Xenopus tropicalis: one gene and its partner. The protein of the gene in region 1 purifies or fractionates together with the protein of each later gene. This does not show direct contact. Links are inferred from orthologs where the notes say so. Each region holds a gene or a part of one and is shown on either strand. Other genes may lie near its edges.

Evidence for each region.
Region 2: the proteins of cdk14 (region 1) and ccny purify together in Homo sapiens (affinity purification with western blotting; 3 studies listed by BioGRID and IntAct, with this or other methods). This does not show direct contact. The link is inferred for Xenopus tropicalis from reciprocal best matches to the Homo sapiens genes CDK14 and CCNY.

What each region holds. Positions count from the first base shown.
Region 1 is NC_030682.2:30,950,974-30,957,004, forward strand, and holds the start of cdk14 (cyclin-dependent kinase 14), read left to right. Parts: upstream 1-2,245; 5' UTR 2,246-2,617; intron 2,618-6,031. UniProt on the Homo sapiens protein: Serine/threonine-protein kinase involved in the control of the eukaryotic cell cycle, whose activity is controlled by an associated cyclin.
Region 2 is NC_030682.2:21,608,466-21,614,655, reverse strand, and holds the start of ccny (cyclin-Y), read left to right. Parts: upstream 1-2,751; 5' UTR 2,752-3,152; coding exon 3,153-3,306; intron 3,307-6,190. UniProt on the Homo sapiens protein: Positive regulatory subunit of the cyclin-dependent kinases CDK14/PFTK1 and CDK16.

The sequences.
Region 1 (6,031 bases):
TTTGATTTGTATACAGATATCAGGTCAGTCTGGAGTACCAAATAGGTAGGTATTTCCTTGCACCTCTCCCTTTCCTTTTCAGTAGATTTTCATTTAGATTTTATAATAATGACTTGATATACAGTATGTGAATAAATGCTGCTGCAGTAACACTTCACAAGCCTGGCATACTTCACAATAACAGAAGGGAGGATGGGTAAATATGATCAGCTTCGGTTTTATATAGTACCCCTTTATAGGCAACACGTCCGTTTGAGTAATTATGAGAGGAGAAAAGCATTCAGGGCCCTTGTCAATCTGTGAACCCTACAAATGTAAGGAAGACCCAGTTCATTTTTATCTGGTGGGTGTTTAAATTCCCACTATTTAATAGATTAGGTGTGAAAGGGATTAGCCTACATTGCTTCTGCTATTTAGGCCCCCCCTACAAAGGTATTAAGGAGAATTTGCCAGTTTTCCCCAATTCAAGGGTGTAACCAAGCACCATAGATGCTGTGTAGCAAGATAATAAGTCTAAACTTCCCATTCATATTAACTGGTGTTTATCAGTGAAACTTACATGGGCAGTAAGTGGCACGATACAAGGGAGAGGAGGACTGTGTGTGGGCTCCAGATTATGTCCAGATAATTTTTGTACCATGGTGATCGGTCATTTTGGTCGGATAGTGATAAAATCTATGTATGTATTGGGTGACCTACAATGCATTTCCGGAACGTCACTTTCGTACGATTGATGTCTGTTAGTTATTTTATGTTCAGAACATCCACCAATTTGTTACTTGTTATCCTACAATTTCAATTTGAATGTTTGAAGACTAAAAGAAGAAGACTAAAATATGAACATGTATGGCCACCTTATAGGACAGGTTTGAAAAGTCTTATGGGTGAGGATCAGATTTGGGTGTTGATGTTGTCCTTGCCTGATGAACCCCCCCCCCCACAATCCTGCAGTATGATGTTATCATTGGCTCCCAGACCAGTGACAGGATCTCTCCAATTTACAGCATTTAGGTGGGCAAATCTGGCATGTTGCATTTAATATGTCTGGTATTAACCCTTTTAATGCTTTAATGTTGTCCCTGGTCAGCTCTTTAATCTGTACTGCGCTGATGTTAATGTGCCAGCAACCTGTATAGATCAAAGAGGTAACTGCCACCACTAATAAGGTTAAATTGATTGGCACAGATCATTGCAAACCTATATTTTTTGATAATTTTCTGCCCACCATTTTACAACATGTAATAAAATCCACATGCTGCAAAGAAACTAGGGCAGCTTATTAGTCATGCATCATGAGGCTTTCATATATGGCTCTAGATTCATTAGTCGGCAAATATGTGTGTTTGTAAATATATATATATATATGTGTGTGTGTGTGCGTGTGTAAATAGTAAAGCACAGTGGGGGCAGTACAAAATAGAGTTTTGCCCAGAGAGAATAACAGGTGTTTATATATTCCCATAGTGTTTATTATAGAACATGCTGCACTATATGTATTGGGTTGGAATAGCCCCAGGTACATTTCACATCTAAAACATGTAGTGCATTATCTTCTATAATAAACACTATGATGAATCTGTTTTATGTATTACATATATGCACAGACGATGGGGGGGGGGTCTTTTTTCCTTTGTAGAAGTGCTTGTAGGCTTCTGTATTTTGTTGATCATTACTGGGAGTACTCAGTATGGATCTTCCAAAATAGGGCTTTTATGCAAGTGGGATTCTTTGTTGGACATTGCAGTAAGACTCCTCTTCAAATAAGTGAACTATCCAGTCATTGTAACTGTGGTATTTACACGAGGGGCAATACTATGTATGAAGTATTTAGCAGTGCAGATATATGAAGAGAAGAATACATTTTGGCCCAGTTTATTTTTGCTATCGTTACCTGGTCTTGGCTGGCAGCTGCGCCTTAAAGTAATGGCCATAATTCTGCAGCAACAGAATGCAGTTCTATATTATTATATGAATATCATGTGACCAGTTTGCAATGTATAAAAACCTCCTGATTGTCAAATAACTTCATTTGTTTTCAGAGACACTAATTGGTTTCCCACTGCTCTTGCAAAAGAAACTCTATTGACCTCGATAAGTACCATCCATTTCATTTAATGTCATTTTCTTTCTAGCCCTGGCCTTATGAAATCAGGCACTTGTGTAAATCAAGTGAGTTTAAAAAGCTTGTATATTGTATAATTGTCAGCCTGTGTATACTCCCAGTGGCTGCAATGCTGCTGCAGAACACACACAGCCTTCCCGGGAAGCACACTACCCAGGCACGTCCATCATTTGGCTTTTAAATACAAATGCTTTAAGGCTGGTCTTTTCAACAAGCTGATGAGTCTCAGGCAAACCCATATTGCTTTCTGTGTGCGCATCTGTGCCTTCCTCATGACTACCCTTAGAGAATATCCTGTCTGCAGAGATTTTTCTCTTTCCATCCAGTGATTCCCCCTTTCTGTAGTGCATCCTTCCCAGTCCGGCTTGGTACAGCAGAAACATGTTGTGAATTCATTTTGCTGAATGAGGCTGGCCTTGGCTGCGACCACTAGCCCCGCTAGAGACATGCTGAAGAGTTGTAAATGAAACACTCTGTGATGACAACTGCACAACGGTAAGTCTGTGTTTATTAAAAATATGCCTGCCTTTTCGTTGTCGGTAGCCTTGGGCTGTATCGGGAATAGAAACATCACGGGCTTTTAATGATTCGGATCACACAGCTGCTTCTGTGCTTGTCTTATTCTCAATTATTTAAAAGAGTAGTAGGGATTCTGCAAAATATGTTGATTTAAATACAATCCCGGAGGAATACACATGCAAAAAACCCTCTTGGTCATCCCTGCCTGCATACAAGTATTATATATTATTATGGAAAAAGCAAACAAATGAGGAGCATTAAGCTTAGAAAGTGTTTTTTTTTCTTATTGTTGAGCAAGGAGGCTAATGTTTCACCGGTTCTGGTGCTCAGCTTTCTTGCCCTTTGGGAGAACTAAGTGTGGGATGGATGTGACCACTCTTTCCTTTCTCATAATAGAAGTGGCCCAGGTTTCTGCACCCACAGTGGCTCTTAGGACTAGGGACTTTAATGATTTCCTATAATTTTGCAGCATTATTCATCTGGCAGTATGAAAACTGATGCAGGAATGATATATTCCGTGCTGTGTGCTTCTTCCTGATTCATGGCAGCTGCATCTTGCCTTTCATTATAGTAAGTACAAGAGTCATGGAAATAAATGTTATTCAGGGGGATGCGTGGATAACTTCACCCGAACAGATGATTGCGAATGACAGGATGATGTTGCTTAGCGCCATATAATGTGGCACACAGTAAAAAAAACAAATATGGAATATAAGGATACAAGATGCAATAGATTTGGCAAAGTATAAAGAGAAGCATAAAAAATTGATTATTGGAATGATTGTTCTAATAATAGGTTCTGCTTTGAGTGGTTTAATGGACCATGCAACAATGTGATGGGAGAGTTTCACTTTAACCCACCCAGGGTCGAGCATACATTCTTACTGCCAGAGAATTTACATCATCTCCCCATGCTCTGTAATGTGCAGGCCCTTCCCTCCTGCAGGCATGGAACCACTCGCCTCTCCGTGCTTTCTATTAAAGGAAGCAACCAGGAATGTTTGCTTTTATTTCTAAAAATTCCCTTGTTTACATGTTAGGATTCATTCCCAGAGTGCAAAAAAAAAAAACAATACTGCTTTTATCAGATGTGCATATTCCCAGTGAAATCATTTTGTCTGTAGGAGAACAGATTTTCATGTTATGGGAACATTAACTGTTTCAGCTTGACTGTGATGTGCAGCCTACTGAGCTGTCGGGCGGAATCATGCTATCAGCTATGTGCCAGCCTTTAAGTGGGCCTTGAACATAGAAATACTGTGATGTAGATTTTGGTAGTTCTTGTTGTGCCTTAATTTTATTATACAGAAGTGTGGGATATGAAAATAATACTACAATTGAAGTCATATTTTGTATGAATTTCTTACATTAGATAAGCAGGAAAATACAGAACAATTTCTGTTCCACTTACCGATAGGTTTCAGCCACAGGAATATAAAGGTTCATATTTGGACAATGTACCAAACTGCATACCCAAGTAGCACTATCCACTTTAAAATATACATACATACACAATTCGGGGTACCATAGTACCACACATTGGGCCCATGTGCCAGATGGACGGAGAGAGTACAAGGGGATACACATGGTACAACTACCTTGCAATTGTTCCAATCGTTAGTTCAGAGGGCACAAATGATCACAGAAAGTAAAGAAGAGCTGCGGTTCTTCACTTTTTAACTGCAGATACGCCATGGACTGGCTAACACGGTACAGATGACATTACATGTGGGGGCATTTACTAATTGGGGCACCAATTATTCAAAAGCCCTGAAAACTCAGAATTGCATTAAGGCTGTCTACAATAGGATCCATTTGAAATGAGAATTAAACCGCCCCCCAAACCCCAGTCCCCCCTCCCTGCTAACTCTCTGCACTATCTATTACATTAAGAAAATGTCCCTATGTGTGTACCTGCTAGAAAAACGCAGAGTTGCACAGCGTGGTTGATAGGCGCCATCTTGCACTGCTTTGGATGCATTTCTTTCAATCCACTGACGTGGAGCCTACAGGAGCATGTACAGTTGAGGCTGATTCCTGACCTAGTTTCAAATGTACATGCTCCTGAAGGCTCCATGTTGGCGAACTGACAGAAGATGATCTGAAATGAAGATGGCGCCTGTCAACCACACTGTGCGACTCTGCACTTTTCGGGAAGGGTGGCTACTGGCAGCGGATGAAGGGAACCTGGGGTTTGGGGGAAGGGTTGAATTTTCATGTAAGCAAGTTATTCTAATTTTTGAAAATGATTGACTTTTTCTTCATAATAATAATACCTAACTAAGCTGAATGAATCCATATTGGTGGCAAAACAATCCTATTGGGGTTGTTTCGTGTTTAAACGATTTTTAGAAGACTTAAGGTAGGGTGATCCAAATTACGGAAAGATCCTTTATCGGGAAAACCCCAGGTTCTGTGCATTCCGGATAATAAATGCACCGATAAAGGCACTAAACATTGTTTCATATTTTAACATTGGCATGTCAATGGCCAGCTTTATTGAAAAATGTGCTCAAAGATTTTTTTTTTCCTTTTGTGCTAGTTTGCTATCTGGATTAATTGGAGGCATGAAATCAATATGTCTCAAGTCAAAGAAACGTAATTATGCAAAGGTAAAGAGTCTTACCCATTTGCTGATAAAAATATCTAATCCAACTATGTCTAGTGTTCAATAAATTCTAATAGTATTTATTTGTATAAGGATCAACAGTTACATGAGCTTTTAATACTGATAATCTAATAAAATCTGGAAGCTCAGTATCATTTCTCCCCAAAATATAACAAGGTCAGGTAGGGTAAAGAGGCTAATAAAAATTTAATTTCTGCAGCTTTCTTATAGAGAACTAAACCTTAAAATGTGCAAGAATTTGTTGTTTAGCACTAAAATCTGCTCCTTGTGCCAGCACCCAGGCCATTGCAGTGGCTCTGTGTCCAGTCATTATGGTAGACTATTTGGTTGCTAGGGTTCAAATTACTTTAGCAACCAGGAAGTAGTTTGAATAAGAGACATATACAAATTTCATTCTATTCTGCTGGACCATAACTTGCCAAATCTGGCATTCTTATGTCTTTTGTTTTACACAAGAGCAATACTGTATGTCTGAAAAGGGGTATATACATTACATACTGTTGCTCATAGGAGGACAGAAGCAGCCAATCTCAAGTTTATTCTATAGCATTTGGCTTAATATATTATATTTTAATTTTATGATAGTTTGGCCTACCATACATCTAAAACAAGAAATTTGGTAATTTGTTTATGTTTCTATACATTACTAATGTGTAGCTACTTCAGAATTATAGTGAATACATTGTATATGGGACCTGTTACCCAGAATGCTCCAACCTTTTTTTACTTGTGAGCCACACTCAGATGTAAAAAGTGTTGGT
Region 2 (6,190 bases), about 9.3 Mb from region 1:
CCCCAGAGCCCCAGGAAACCAGTCGGATAATTGGGGCCCCCTGAGAGGTAGGGCCCTGCTAGTATGGGGCTTTAAAAATACTGATGCTGGCCCTGCTCTTGCTGGTGATATGTCAGGACTTACATGAAATGGATGAGGATTATGACTGGGCAAATCAAGTTGCTCCATAATGTAATTTCAATTTGCCAATGGTAGGGGATATATAGAAGGAAAAACACGTAGGGAATTAGAGACTTTACAGACAAAAATAACCGGAAGATATAAAATTTAGAAGGGAACAGAATAAAATAACATGATTTAAGATAAACACACACACCCACATAAAAACTAAATCAACTTTAGAAATATATTTTCCTTTCAGTGAATAGCTGAATGAATGGATATTTACCAGCACAGAAACAGTATATTTATACACACGCTAACCTCTATTTATAACCAGAACCTTCACAGAGCCTAATACTTGTGAAAACATTATATTAAATATATTTGCTATCATCTTCCCTAGTTTAATAATATTCTCAGGGGGGATGCTTGCTGTTTGAGGAGGAATTGCTCTAGATGATCAGACTACAAATACAATCCCCAGTGTTTGAGCAAAAAACGATATTAGGCAATTGAAACTCCCAGAGCAGATTTGTAAAAAGTGCCAAATACTAAGGGAATTCCCCGTCAGCCTTTTTCCCAGTACTGCCTCCATCGATTCACTGGGCACCGCTGTTGCTCAGCGCATGAGTCCGTTAGCAATGCGACTTTGAGCTGCTCACTGCTTCCTTTGCATTTTTATAAAATGCTGAGACAGTTTTCTCAGAATCGCCTCCCAGTATTTACTGAAAGATACAAAAAATAAAACCAATGACCAGGCACTGGGCTTTTAATTGGTTCTGTTTGGTCAAAGCAATTACCATTCTGGTCTATGGAAAAAAAACAGCTTTTTAGCAATATGAATGCATTTAATTACCAAAGGACGGCAGCATTGGGTCTAATTGTAAAATAGAAATAGAAATACACACCATATATATTTATTAAAAACTGTGACTTAAACTGGATATATTGAACTCCATTCTCAGCAGGTGGAAAAGAGTGTTGGTCAAAATGCTCCAATTTACTTCTCCTACTAATCTGTAGGGATCATTGTTGTGCATTGAGCACTCATAGTGGTGACAGGTGGCCCTCTGCACAAAGACACACTCACTTGAGTTATTCTAAGTGGAGGTCCATCTGTCACCGCTATGTGTGCTTAAGGCACAGCATTTCCCTGAGATTAGTATGGGAAGCAGTGACATGAAGAGAGGGGTGTTTTGACCGCTGCTGTATACCCCTCTCCCCCCCCCCCCCCCCCCCGATTTGAGCAGTGGTGTAATATACAAGGTGCAGAGAAGGGGGGCCGTTCAGAACCTGTTAAACCTCCCTCGTGTCCCACTATTGCTTGTTCTTGCACCTGCATGTATTTTTGTAAGACGGGTGCACAGGGCGGCAGAGGTAAAGAGTAGTGATGAGAAGGTCCAACATTTTTCAGCCTGTGACCTAACCCTTACCCACTGCTTCCCAACCCGCATCCAGCCAAAAGTCTTTCCTTCTGATTAATGACAGATAAGCAGGATCATCAGAGCCGAGACATGTATGGGTATGGGACCTGGGTTATTTCTGTAATTTAGAGCTCCATTTCTTAAATCTACTAAAAAATAATTTTAACATTAAAGGGGACCTGTCACCCTAAGAAATAATTCCAAATCCTTTTGAATCAGGTTAGTAGAGCAAAATAAACTTTACTTACACTATTTCAATTATTGAATTTATTTTTCCCTCCAGTCTTGAAATTAGTAGTCATAGCCAGCAGGCCGGCGCCATTTTGTGTGCACTGTTATTAAGGCAAGCTATGTATCACCCCAAAATCATATGCATTTGCCATCTGGGTGATGTATAGTAAGAATCATACTAGAAGAAACAGGCAGGCACATCTGGGATCCCTTTTGCGTCAGTCAATTTGTTCAAAAAAGCAGCTTGTATGTTAATAAAAGTATCAAAAATGTATTTATTCCATAAAAATAATAACAACTGCAACAGCCTTACGCGTTTCGTACCTACCAGGGTACTTAATCATAGGCTCATGATGTATAGTAAGTGCTGAATGGAAAGTTAAAGTAATTGTTATTAAAAATCTAAGCTGTCAATCATATATTGCCTGCCCCGCCTCTATCCCTGCGGCATAGAGGCGGGGCAGGCAATATATGATTGACAGCTCAGATTTTTAAATACATTTATAACAGGTATGGATGATTTAATTAAAAAAAAATTGGGTTTCATGTATTCATGTGTACCAGCTGCCAATCATAATACATAGAGGGCAGTAAAACTGAAAAGAGATATATGTATGGAATTACTACACAGCCAGAGAAGCAAAAGGAAATAAGCCCCTGCCCCAATAGAGCTTACAATCTAAATGGGCGGGTGCTTTCTCTGTGCCAAAGGGTTACAGACTAAAAAGCCCCCCTTTTGTTTTTATTTGTAACTCCCTGCAGCCACTAGGGCCATGCTGGTTGAGTTTAGCCACCTGTGTTGAATTGTGGTATTCACACAAAAGAGAAAAGTAAAGTCAATTGCGGCGTGGTGAAATTGTGCTATCATCAAAATCTGAAAGCAAAGTCAGTAAAGTGATAGTTCACTCCCACACAATCTGCTCCCTTCCCGCTATTAGACTTATAAACCGGAACTTTCCTTTTCCTGTGTAAACGGAACCTTTTCTCCTGTGTCAGCGGAACAATTTAGCAGTGCGCCGCTCTGGGCAGGGAGAGCTGTGCGTCGGCGCTAGCTGCCAGTGCTAGGGCGGAGCTTGATTCGAGGGAGGGGCTGCTGCTTGTGCTGCTGTGTGAGGGCTATGCAGGGAGACTGATGAGGAGGCAGCGGGCAGGGGAGATGCCTGGTTCCTGCCTCCAACACTGGGCACTATGGAATAGAAGGGGCGCTGCCTGCTGAGCCCCCTACACGCTCTTCCCTTCCCTTATGGAGAGGGGCTGTTATTAGCTGCTTTGGGCTGCTCCCCACCCGGGGGACTTGCAGTCTGTGCTACCATTCCTCATTAACGGAGAGAGGAGAGGCTGGGGGTGCTACAGAAGGCTGAGATCTGAGAGGGGCTGCGCTGCTGAAGCCCCACCATGGGGAACACCACATCCTGCTGTGTCTCCTCCAGCCCCAAGCTGCGCAGAAATGCCCACTCCAGGCTGGAGTCGTACCGGCCCGAGCAGGACATAAGCAGAGAGGACACTGGATGCAACCTGCAGCACATCAGTGACCGGGAGAATGTAGATGGTAAGGGGGAACCTGGGGGGCACAGGCTGGCACACATGTGCTATTCTTATAATTGCATTGGGGGTGGGGTTGGCACTGCCATGTCAGTGTGGGTACATCAGGCATGGCACAGAGGGCATTCACCCTGGGCTCCCACACTCACAGGGGGAACATATGTACAGCATGTTATATAGTGTAATCACTCAGATTGTAAGCTCTGGGGCACAGGCACTGCCTTATGCTTCTTACACTTAGCACTTACTGTATTTTGCTATTACTGTATTTATATTCTATTGTTGTATTGTTCCCCATCTCTTCTATTTATGTATTGTTTTACTATATAGTGTGCCTGTGCAAGTCCCACTGAATATATAGAAATATATTTCCGGAATATATATATATATATATATATATATATCAACTCTGCAGCTATTGTTGAACTCGCTCTACAAACCCCTGGCAGCCCATTGTACATGGAGTTCCCTGGGATATCAGTGCAGTTCAGTGGAGATGAATGGGGGTGTGCTCTGTGATTTCCTAGTGTCATTAGACCCAGGCCTCTATATTGGAATTGCATGGGTACTGCTGGGATCCGTTGTGACTGGCTTGTTTCATTGTCTGCCTTGTTAATGATCTGCCTTGTTAATGAGGCCTGGCACCATGTGATCTGTCAGAAAGTAACAATAAATAGGTACCATAGTGCCGTAGGCTGACACTTAGGCAGAGCAGCACTGGGTTTTGCAGCCTTTGTGTCCCAGCTGTGTCAGTGGCAGAAGGAGGAACTGTGCCCACATGAGGATGCTCTTAAAGGAGACATATCATATACAAATTAAGAATGTACCAGTGAATTACACTCCTCTAAATATAGAAGGATTGTGCTTAAAAAAGTTGTGTTTTGGACTTATTTATTAAGAAATTCCACCAAAAGCCCACTAGTCCCACCCCTTCTGTTCCACTTCCTGCTGGCTGACTTCTCTGGATGTGCAGGGGGGGCTGGAGGCTCTCAGTACAAGACACTGTAGGATAGGAACCAATTAGCAACTAGGCTGACCTGATAGGGAACTGAAGCCTGTCTTTAGTTGTGTTAGTGCAAGACTGTGATTGGTTGTCCCCCTCCTACTGTGCTTCTGGCAGGAACTGTTAGGACACACCCACCCTTCATTTGAAACAGGGACAGAGACCTGATAGGATCTATAGGGAGCTCCAATAAAGGGGCCATTTTTACTTATAGGATTAATTTTTAGCCCAAAGTGAAACCAGCACCATATATTATTCATAATTGCCATCATTTATCCAATATGTCTCCTTTAATCTTTATGTGTCGCTTACCTGTACTCTGTTGGTTCTGACCAATCTTTTGCTAGGGTTTAGTGGATTTATTACCTTGTGTTCATATTCAGTGCTCATGCATTACTGCCATTCTGCTTAGCAATGATAAATGATGGGGTTTTGTACTGAACTGTATGCAACATATTCTGTAACTCTTTACAGAGATTATATTAGACATCATTCCCTGGTTATGTAAACTAAGGTCCCTATCTTATTTGCTATGGTCAGTTCATAATAGGAGCCAGGTACCTTGCCTCTTTTGAAAGGAAACCAGAATACAATGAGGAAAATCATGCAGCTGCGGAGAGAACATACAGACATGCTTCAGAGAGTGCCCTGACTGGAATTGAACCTAGAACCCCAGGTCTAACCATGGGTACCCCTCAGGTCTTGGGACCCTGCTTTGGTAATGACCTTTACAGTAGGCCTATTAGTGTATGTGCCACTATGTAAGTGCCACTATGCTTCAGCTTTTAATTTTTCCATGTGAATCTGTTTGATACAAATATAAAGAGCTGAACTGACTAACGGCTAGAGCATGCTTTCTACTGACACAAGTCATGTACCTACCAGATAGTGTTCAATTACTATTGCAAGAAGCTAGGTGGGAAACCAGTATTATTCAGTAGAGGGCTAAATAAACTTAGTCATATACTGCAGACTCTACGGCAAGGGCTCCATGTGTTTTCCTATATAGAAAGAGAACATATATCTATGGCAGTATAAATATTCCCCTATATTAATTATTAGAGATTATAGTGGCCCTTAAATAGAAAAATGAATGCATTATAAATACTGTATGACACCGAGGCTTGTTCAGTTGAAATGTGCAGAGTAGTTGTAATAAAGGGATCCATTAAATCAGTTGCTCTTGCAATTACACATTTCTGGGTCTAGTGTTTACTGGGCCCTGTGCAATGTATTAGCAGCTTCCACTTTGGTCCGGTTGAACAGAGGGCAGTTTTATTCCAGGGCTGTAACCATTAGCAACCAATCAGCAATAAACTTTCATCAGCCTACTACAGGGTAAATTATAAAAGCACATCTCTAATTGGTTGCTATATGTTACTACACTTCGGCAAATTCCTGGAATAACATATCCAAAGACTTCACTACTTGTGTGGCCTAGCGATGTACAGTAGTTAGCAAGTGTTCCACTTCCAGCTTGCATCATTTACTGATAAATTCTTAAGAGATGTTCCTGGCATAAAACTTGTTTTCCTTTTAAATGGTACTGCTAGTGAGCATATTTTAGCTGGCCGCTCCCTCCCTTGCGTAAAATGCATTTATACAAATAATCTTTGTATGCGGTAGCCAGGCCCTTATACTTTACTGTCTAACTGCTAATAAATTAAAAATAAATTTGACCTCTAGGCATTATAATATCATTAAGAGGAAAAAAGTGGTTTGTGTTTGTGTATTTATTGCATAATCTGTTTTATTGCATTATAATAGGCTGACCAGATCACCCCTTTTAGCAAACTGCAAACCCCTTACTTGCTGTGTTTACAAGTAAAATGTAGCAGTTTCTGCACGTTTGGGTTTATTGTAAAAAAGCGCTAGAAAACCAGCCTGT